Linked DNA regions of Nothobranchius furzeri. The protein of the gene in region 2 purifies or fractionates together with the protein of the main gene of each other region. This does not show direct contact. Links are inferred from orthologs where the notes say so. Each region holds a gene or a part of one and is shown on either strand. Other genes may lie near its edges.

Region 1 (3,959 bases), on a different chromosome or scaffold from region 2:
CGCCCTACCTCTCTGAGCTATTGCACATTCACTCCTCCTCTCGGTCGCTCAGGTCATCTGACCAGTTGCTCCTGGACGTTCCAAGGACACAGCGTAAGCTGAGGGGATAGGGCCTTCGCTGATGCTGCTCCCAGAACTCTTTGCCGGCACATCTTAGAAAGGCCTCCTCACTGGAAACTTTTAAATCATCTTTAAAGACCCACCTTTTTAGCTTGGCTTTCAACACGTTTTGGATTTCTATTTGATTTGTGTTTTATTTTAGTGTGCTTTTAACCTTACACTGTATTCTATTTTATGCTTTTATGTTTTTATGTTCAGCACTTTGGTCAGCGAGGGCTGTTTTTAAAGTGCTTTATAAACAAAGTTGGCTTGGCTTGATTAAGCAAATGCAACTCTAAACTCAATTCCTTTCTTTGACATTTCAGACAGGAAATGTTGAGTTATCCTTTATGCTCAAACCTGTTCACACACACACACACACACACACACACACACACACACACACACACACACACACACACACACACACACACACACACACACACACACACACACACACACACACACACACACACACACACACACACACACACACACACACACACACACACACACACACACAGCGAAAGAAAGAACAGTCTAGTGTTTTACCAATTCAAATTTTAATCAAGATAAAAAAAAAAGAATAGCTCCAGGTACAATGTCTGGTGGACCAGACACTGGGTGCAATGCTTTAACAGTTTATAATAAAAAATTTAAACTATGAAACAGAAAAACAGAGAAGTGGACACCAAGTTGCGCAAGCATTACAGATTAAAGCCAAACCATTGCACAAAGTTAGAGCTCCCAGTTTTTCACTCCAACTTTCTTAACAGCAACTTGACTCAGATACTTACATGTACGGACATGTATGCAAATTAAATCAGGACCTGGTGGAAGATGCGTTATTTCTTGGCAAAAGAAATCTTCATGGCGTTCGTCTGAGTGATCTTAAAGCCCTGCAGAGCATCTCGTGCCGCGCCAGCCTGCACCTCGTTTTCAAACTCCACAAAGGCGATGTCGTGACGACCAGGAACAAGACGCACCTCTTTGAAGCCGGGAAACCTTTAACGCACAGAGCAGCTCAGTTACAATTACAGAAAAAACAGTTTGAGAGAATTAAATTCTCAGATTATTTGCAATGTTAGCATCACAAAACAGTCAAAGTTGATCCATTTTTACGCATCTGTTTAAATGTATGACTAGAAAATGAGTACTGACTGGTTGAAGAGCATGGACAGCATGAGTTCGTTCGTCTCCTCTGGCAGGTTGGTGAGAAAGAGAATGTGGTTGGGTGGATTTTCTGAAACCTGTGGGAAGAGAGTAAGGATTAAACTACCAGGACAGGAAACAAAACGTTCTGTGAGGAAAAAGAACACAAGCTACCTGCTGAGGCATCTGTCCTGGCATCATCTGACCAGGAGCAATCCCACCAGGAGGAATCTGGCCTGGAGCCATCCCAGGAGGAGGCATCATTCCAGGAGGGGGCATGTAAGGTGGCTGGCCTGGAATGTGCATCATGCGAGGAGCCTGGTTCATTGGTGGCATTCCCTAAAGAATGACAAACGTTTAGTTTCTATTCATGTTAATTGAGCTTTTAACTCTTAATGCATCTAAAACCTGCCGTTACTTCACTAACAAATATCTAGATTGTTTAACCATGATTGTAAAAAACACCTAGTGCACTCACTGGGATTGCAGAAGGTACCCCAGCAATCGCTGCAGCATTTTTTTTACTTCCTGTAGATTCAGGTTTGGGCTTCTTCTTTTCTTTTTTACGGTCACGCTCCACAAAAGTCCCCTTCATCTTAGCTATAATATCCGAATCCATTTTAGAGTACTGGATTCGCTGCAAGAAAGTATATATTTGAGTCACACGTGTACTTCCATCAGAAATGTCTAAATTGTGCATTATTAAACATGTTTAATAGACGTACCATAGGTTTATCATAGAAAGGAAAACCCTGCATGGACCTTAATGCATTAGAAGCGCTGTTAATCTCTTTAAAGATAACGAACGCCTGACCCTTCATCTTCAGGTTTCGTGCGACCAAAATGTCCAAAATTTGCCCAAACTGAGAGAAGATGGCATAAAGGGACTTCTTCAGCTCTGAGGGAGACACACAAACAACAAATAATCAATAACAATAATAAAGGAGACTTTGCATTAATTGTGCGTGAAATAAACAAAGAAAAGGAAAGAAAATGATGCGAAACTCACCATCTTTCTTTATCTTCTCGTTTAGGTTGTTGATGTAGATCGTGTGATTGGGGCGCACCTCTGCTGGAGTGGTCATGTTTAAGGCTAGGAGAATAAATAAAATAGCTAAAAATAAAATAAAGACTCAAACATGTGCTTATTTTCACGCAGTTTCAAGTCCAATTTCATTCAAAAATCCAGCATCTAAACGCAATGGTAACAAACATGGCGGAAGGCAACAACAGCGTGTTAGCTAAAAGCTAACTAACAGCATTTAGCGTCATTAATCTGCCTAAATACTTCTACTAGTTCCAACGTTACCTCAAATCGTTTAAGCTTGTCAAAAATATTTTAAATCAACAGTTAAAATGCACTTAACCATGTAAAACGCGTTAGATGTTGACGTAGTACCAACCTGAAATTGAATGAAAGCTCCGAGACTTTTTTCCCCAGAAAACAAGAGGAAGAAATTCTTCTTCTTTGTCTTATTTGTTGGTTACCAAACCGTTCTGGTGAATTACCGCCACCACACGGTGTAAATCAAAATAGCGAAACTCAAAACACCATTTAACTTACAATGGCTAAAACTAAAATGGTTTTTCTTCTTATTTACGCTGCTCTGGGTGGCTGCATGTTGGAGTAGCTCTGTTAACTATATGTAAGTTTAGCCTTTTCTTGGACATTTTTTCTTCTAGTTTCTCAAGAAAAACGGTATTTTTTTGGACACTTTACTTTTCTGTTTCTGGTGCTGTGAAGCTTGGAGGACTTTTGCTGCTATTGTTTAGGTTTTTTCACTTTTTGAGCATTTGTTATGATGCGTAACCATGGCAACAAGCTGGTTTACAATCGGGAGCAGCTGTTTAACATTGAAAAGGCTGAAATAATACCTCAACTGACGCGACAAATCCCAAATTAACTAAAACGCAAGAAGCGTGGGTGCAGAGCGGGAGCAAAACGGAGACAGAGAAAGAGGAAATTCAAACCATCTCTCCCATCGATCATAATGGGCAATGTGAGATCACTGGCCAACAAGATGGAGGAACTCCAAGCCCTTTCAAGGACTCAGTCAGAGTTTCGGCACTTTCTGAACCACTGGAGGAGATAATGCAAAGAAGGATTCTCCAGAGAATCAAGAAAATTATGGACAACCGTGAGCATTCTCTTCACAAGACTGTCCGACAACGGAAGAGTGTCTTCAGTCAGAGGCTTCTTCAGTTTCGCTGCAACACTACTGGAGATCCTTCCTGCCAACAGCCATTGTAATATACAATAACTCTTTGATGACTTGATTATTATTATTATTCTGAGATACTACAGCAATCAGTTTCCCCCTGGGATTAATAAAGTATTTTTGAATTGAATTGAACAGTAAATCAGAAATACTGGAAAAACATGACGTCAAAAAAAGGCAGAGTAGACAACCTAAGAAGAATAACAGTAACTTTACAATAAGGTACGTAAAATTATGCTTCGTAACTAGGGAACGACTTAGGGAGTAATGAGTAATGAAGCAGGGAAGAATAGGTAGTTAACCAATACATACTGGTGAAAACCCAACAGTTTTATTCAGGGACTAATCTTTGAACGCATTAAGGAACAAATCCCAAATGAATGTAGTGCCTGTGGACTTTTTTTTTTTGTAAACTTCATGAACAATGCAGATAATTTGCAACATCACAGTGATTTAACATCACTGTTTCATCTTGACTTCACACGTCTG
Region 2 (3,648 bases):
TTTTGGGTGCCAGAGATATTTCAAGACAATATTTAATTTTAACACAACTATTTGAAAAGGTTGTAGCTTGGAAACGGTTAGAGACAAAATTAACTGAGAAAAATCTTCAGTAGAACCGAAACAGTCATATTTTGACCTCACCAGGCTGCCGTAATGGAAATGCATCATTTTTGAATTTATCACATTTAAATTTTTTTATTTATATATCCATATATAAAGCTCCTTTGAAGTTTCAATTAGATAGTTTAGCTTTTATATTGTATTATCTGACATTTACATTGGCCTCACTCAAGAGGAATGCTTTTCAGCCATATTTGTCAGGTTTCTTTGGGCTTGTACAGCTCCAGGGATGAGTGTAATGATCATTTGACCCAAGGGAAGGAACATTTTTTATAGTTATGTGGCACAGTTTGACTTCCATATGTAACACATCTGCTGCTTTTTTTCCCCATTGCAGCGACATCTGTCACATTAGCGGTGTTTTACCATCATTTCTACATCCACCATGTTCCAAACACGGTGAAACAAACGTCAAACCTAACGCTTGGAGCTTGTAAGCTCCATACACCATACTCTCGTGCAGCACCAGCTGTCTGTTGCTGCAGTAGCGTCATCTTTCCGGCTGGATGAGTGAATTTCTTCATCAGAGACAATATTCTGCTTTATAATCGGAGTCAGTCATGACCAGACCTGCCTGCAATTTAAGTTTTATCCCTCTAATATTCGCCCTCTCCGTGCTGCGCTCGTCTCCACCCGTCCTCTCCTCGACTGGGAACCTCTCGCAGTTTTCAAACCCTAAAAACTCAGAAACTGTTAATATAAACGCACCCATAAGTGTTGTTCAGCCTGAAGTTACACATCTCCACTATCTTCTGGTGTAAAGTAGTGACTTCATGAGGGATGGTAGCTGTGGCTTGTTAAAGTCAGCAACAACGCTTTTCGCAGTATTGTGACTGTGGCGCTTAAAGGGTTGAGCCCCATGAGATGTCAAAGCTGCAGCTGTTACACACCTGCTTAGTATCATAACCTGGATGGTGGGAGCTTTCTTCAGCTGAATGAAGATAAGACTGAGATCCTCATCTGTGCCCCAGACAAGCTGGTCCCCAAAGTCAGAGACTCTCTTGGTCAGCTTGCTTCTCACACCAAACCCTCTGTCAGGAATCTTGGTGTGACCTTTGACCCAGCTCTCACCCTGGATTCTCATGTTAGTTCTCTTGTTCGCTCTTCCTTCTTCCATCTCAGGAACGTTGCTAAGCTGAGTCCCATTCTGTCTCGCTCTGAACTTGAGACAGTTCTCCACACCTTCATCTCCTCACGCTTAGACTACTGTAACTCTCTTTTCACGTGTCTGAGCAGAACCTCCCTGAACCGTCTACAGGTGGTCCAGAATGCCTGTGCTCGGCTTCTGACCAAGTCCTCCAAACACACCCACATCACCCCGCTTCTCCTCCAGCTTCACTGGCTGCCAGTCAACTTCAGGGTTCATTTCAAGATCCTGGTTCTGGTCTATAGGGCCTTACATGGACAAGCACCATCATACATTGGTGATCTTCTTAGTCCCTACACCCCCAGCAGGTCCCTGAGGTCCAGTGATCAAAGCCTACTGGTTGTGCAGCACCAGGCTAAAGACCAAAGGTGACAGATCATCTGCTGCTGTGGCCCCCAGACTCTGGAACTCTCCCGCTGAGCCTGAGATCAGTGGACTCAGTGGTCTCCTTTAAACTCACCTGTTCAGGCTTTAGTGTGACCTTCATCACCCTCTCCTTGTTCTGCTCTCCCCACCTATTCCACCTTCCTCAGGATCCACTGATTTCCCTCTTTCCTGTTCACTCTCTCTCTTTCTGTACATTTTTAATCACAATTGTCTATTTTTTGCTCATTTTAATTAATATTTTTTGCAGTTTGAAATTTTTGTTTTGGTGAAGTGCCTCGTGATTTTTATCTTGTTTTGTTGTCTAAATTTTATTTTTTGTGTTGCTTCAGAAAAGATGGACACTAACCCTAACCTGGCTCTCTGTGCAACAGAGGACACGTCTACATTTAAAAGGGACAAACTGACCCAGCCTGCGAGGACGCCATCCTTTGACAGTACGTCCCCGTTCCACGTCCACCAACACCCGTCTGCCATCAATCTTCTTTCCGTCCGCGTGCTTGTAGGCGGCTGCAAGAGAGGGGAAAGAGGGAAGGCGGAGTTAAGATGGGAGTTCCAACAGCACCAGTTTGGGCAAGGGAGAAAAAAATAGAAATGAAAACAGGAAACGGTGCTTTAATATACTGACCAGGAGCAGGTGAAGCCGAGATGGCTGCTCCCTGGGTAAAAGCCGAAGGATTACGGAAGAGGACCTCCTTCCACCCGATGAGTGACTGATACGTTACACTCTGACCGTCATTAAGCCCTGAGGCCCGGCTCATTTAGATCCCACGGTTCTAACGTAGCCAGCAACATCACATCTGTGTGTGTGTGGTGTGTGTGTGTGTGTGTGGTGTGTGTGTGTGTATGCAGTGATCCCTCGCTACTTCGCAGTTCGTTTTATCATGGATTCACGACCGCGGATTTTTTCTTTGGAGCCTTATTGAAGGGAAATTCGCCGATTCGCGGTATTTTTCTATGCGAAATATCAAGAAATTCCTGTTTTTTTTCATCGATTTTATCATAAAATGCACTTTTTGTAATAAAACTATAAAAAAAAAACAAGTAAAAATACAGTACTATGTAAATGGAGGGTTTTAAAAGTCTGAATACTGAATACGAACCTGTTAAATAAATACTGTAAATATGGTGTCCCTACTTCGCGGATTTTCACCTATCACATCCAGGTCTGGAACGCATCTACCGCGATAAACGAGGGATCACTGTACAGCCAATACCACATCTCATCATCCAGTCTAGCCAGCTGATGAATTCAAGGCCACACGGACCAAAGCTGGCTGTCTAAAATCAGAATTACTTTTAGTTTTGGAGAGTTTAAATCTAGAGTGATTCCAGGAAGCCCGGAACGGACCCATCACCGTGTGGCGCACTAGACACTCATTCCATGAGCTTGCTGCCAATGGCCTCATGAACATCTGAGCCACCGGTAGAGCCTTACCAAAATTCCTCTGCACCAGAGCAGCATCACAACCTCTCCATCAGGGGCCTTACCACCACCCCTCCACTTCCTGGTTCACCAGAGATGACAACAAGTTACCCACCCAATGATAGGGCCTTACCAAACCCCCAATAGTCCCACAAAAATGGACCAACTGAGGAAACAAAACAATAAACAAACACAAGGTAGTTAAAAAAAAAAAAAAAAAAAAAACAAGCACAAAACTGGGCGACCTGTTGGAGTAATCCCAACCAAGTGAAGTCATGTTCCTACCACAGGTCTAAGGTGAGTGGAGACCTCTCTCTGACCGAGTCAGGAGTGTGTTTACTGGTGGGCTGTGGCTACAGGGACTCGTGAGCTCATCAGTGAAGCTGTAGTGGTGTGTGTCTGCCTGGGAATGTAATGCATGAACAGTCCATTTAGTTGAGTTATCAAAGAGTTTCCCTCATCTGCCTCTTCCATTAAAGCCAGCTCCAGACTGGTGTTGTCCCACTGCATCCACATATCCCTTACTGGTGATTTAAACTAAAACGTGTTGTCCTGGACTACCTGCACCACA

The links. Proteins that work in one complex are often made in the same cells at the same time.
Region 1: the proteins of snrnp70 (region 2) and snrpa purify together in Homo sapiens (affinity purification with mass spectrometry; 4 studies listed by BioGRID and IntAct, counting the BioPlex papers as one, with this or other methods). This does not show direct contact. The link is inferred for Nothobranchius furzeri from reciprocal best matches to the Homo sapiens genes SNRNP70 and SNRPA.

Annotation. Positions count from the first base shown.
Region 1 is NC_091753.1:42,104,565-42,108,523, forward strand, and holds snrpa (U1 small nuclear ribonucleoprotein A), read right to left. Parts: upstream 2,782-3,959; 5' UTR 2,655-2,781; intron 2,345-2,654; 5' UTR 2,337-2,344; coding exon 2,261-2,336; intron 2,150-2,260; coding exon 1,977-2,149; intron 1,889-1,976; coding exon 1,730-1,888; intron 1,591-1,729; coding exon 1,426-1,590; intron 1,350-1,425; coding exon 1,261-1,349; intron 1,105-1,260; coding exon 945-1,104; 3' UTR 644-944; downstream 1-643. UniProt on the Homo sapiens protein: Component of the spliceosomal U1 snRNP, which is essential for recognition of the pre-mRNA 5' splice-site and the subsequent assembly of the spliceosome. U1 snRNP is the first snRNP to interact with pre-mRNA.
Region 2 is NC_091758.1:13,877,903-13,881,550, reverse strand, and holds part of snrnp70 (U1 small nuclear ribonucleoprotein 70 kDa), read right to left. Parts: intron 2,162-3,648; coding exon 2,060-2,161; intron 1-2,059. UniProt on the Homo sapiens protein: Component of the spliceosomal U1 snRNP, which is essential for recognition of the pre-mRNA 5' splice-site and the subsequent assembly of the spliceosome. SNRNP70 binds to the loop I region of U1-snRNA.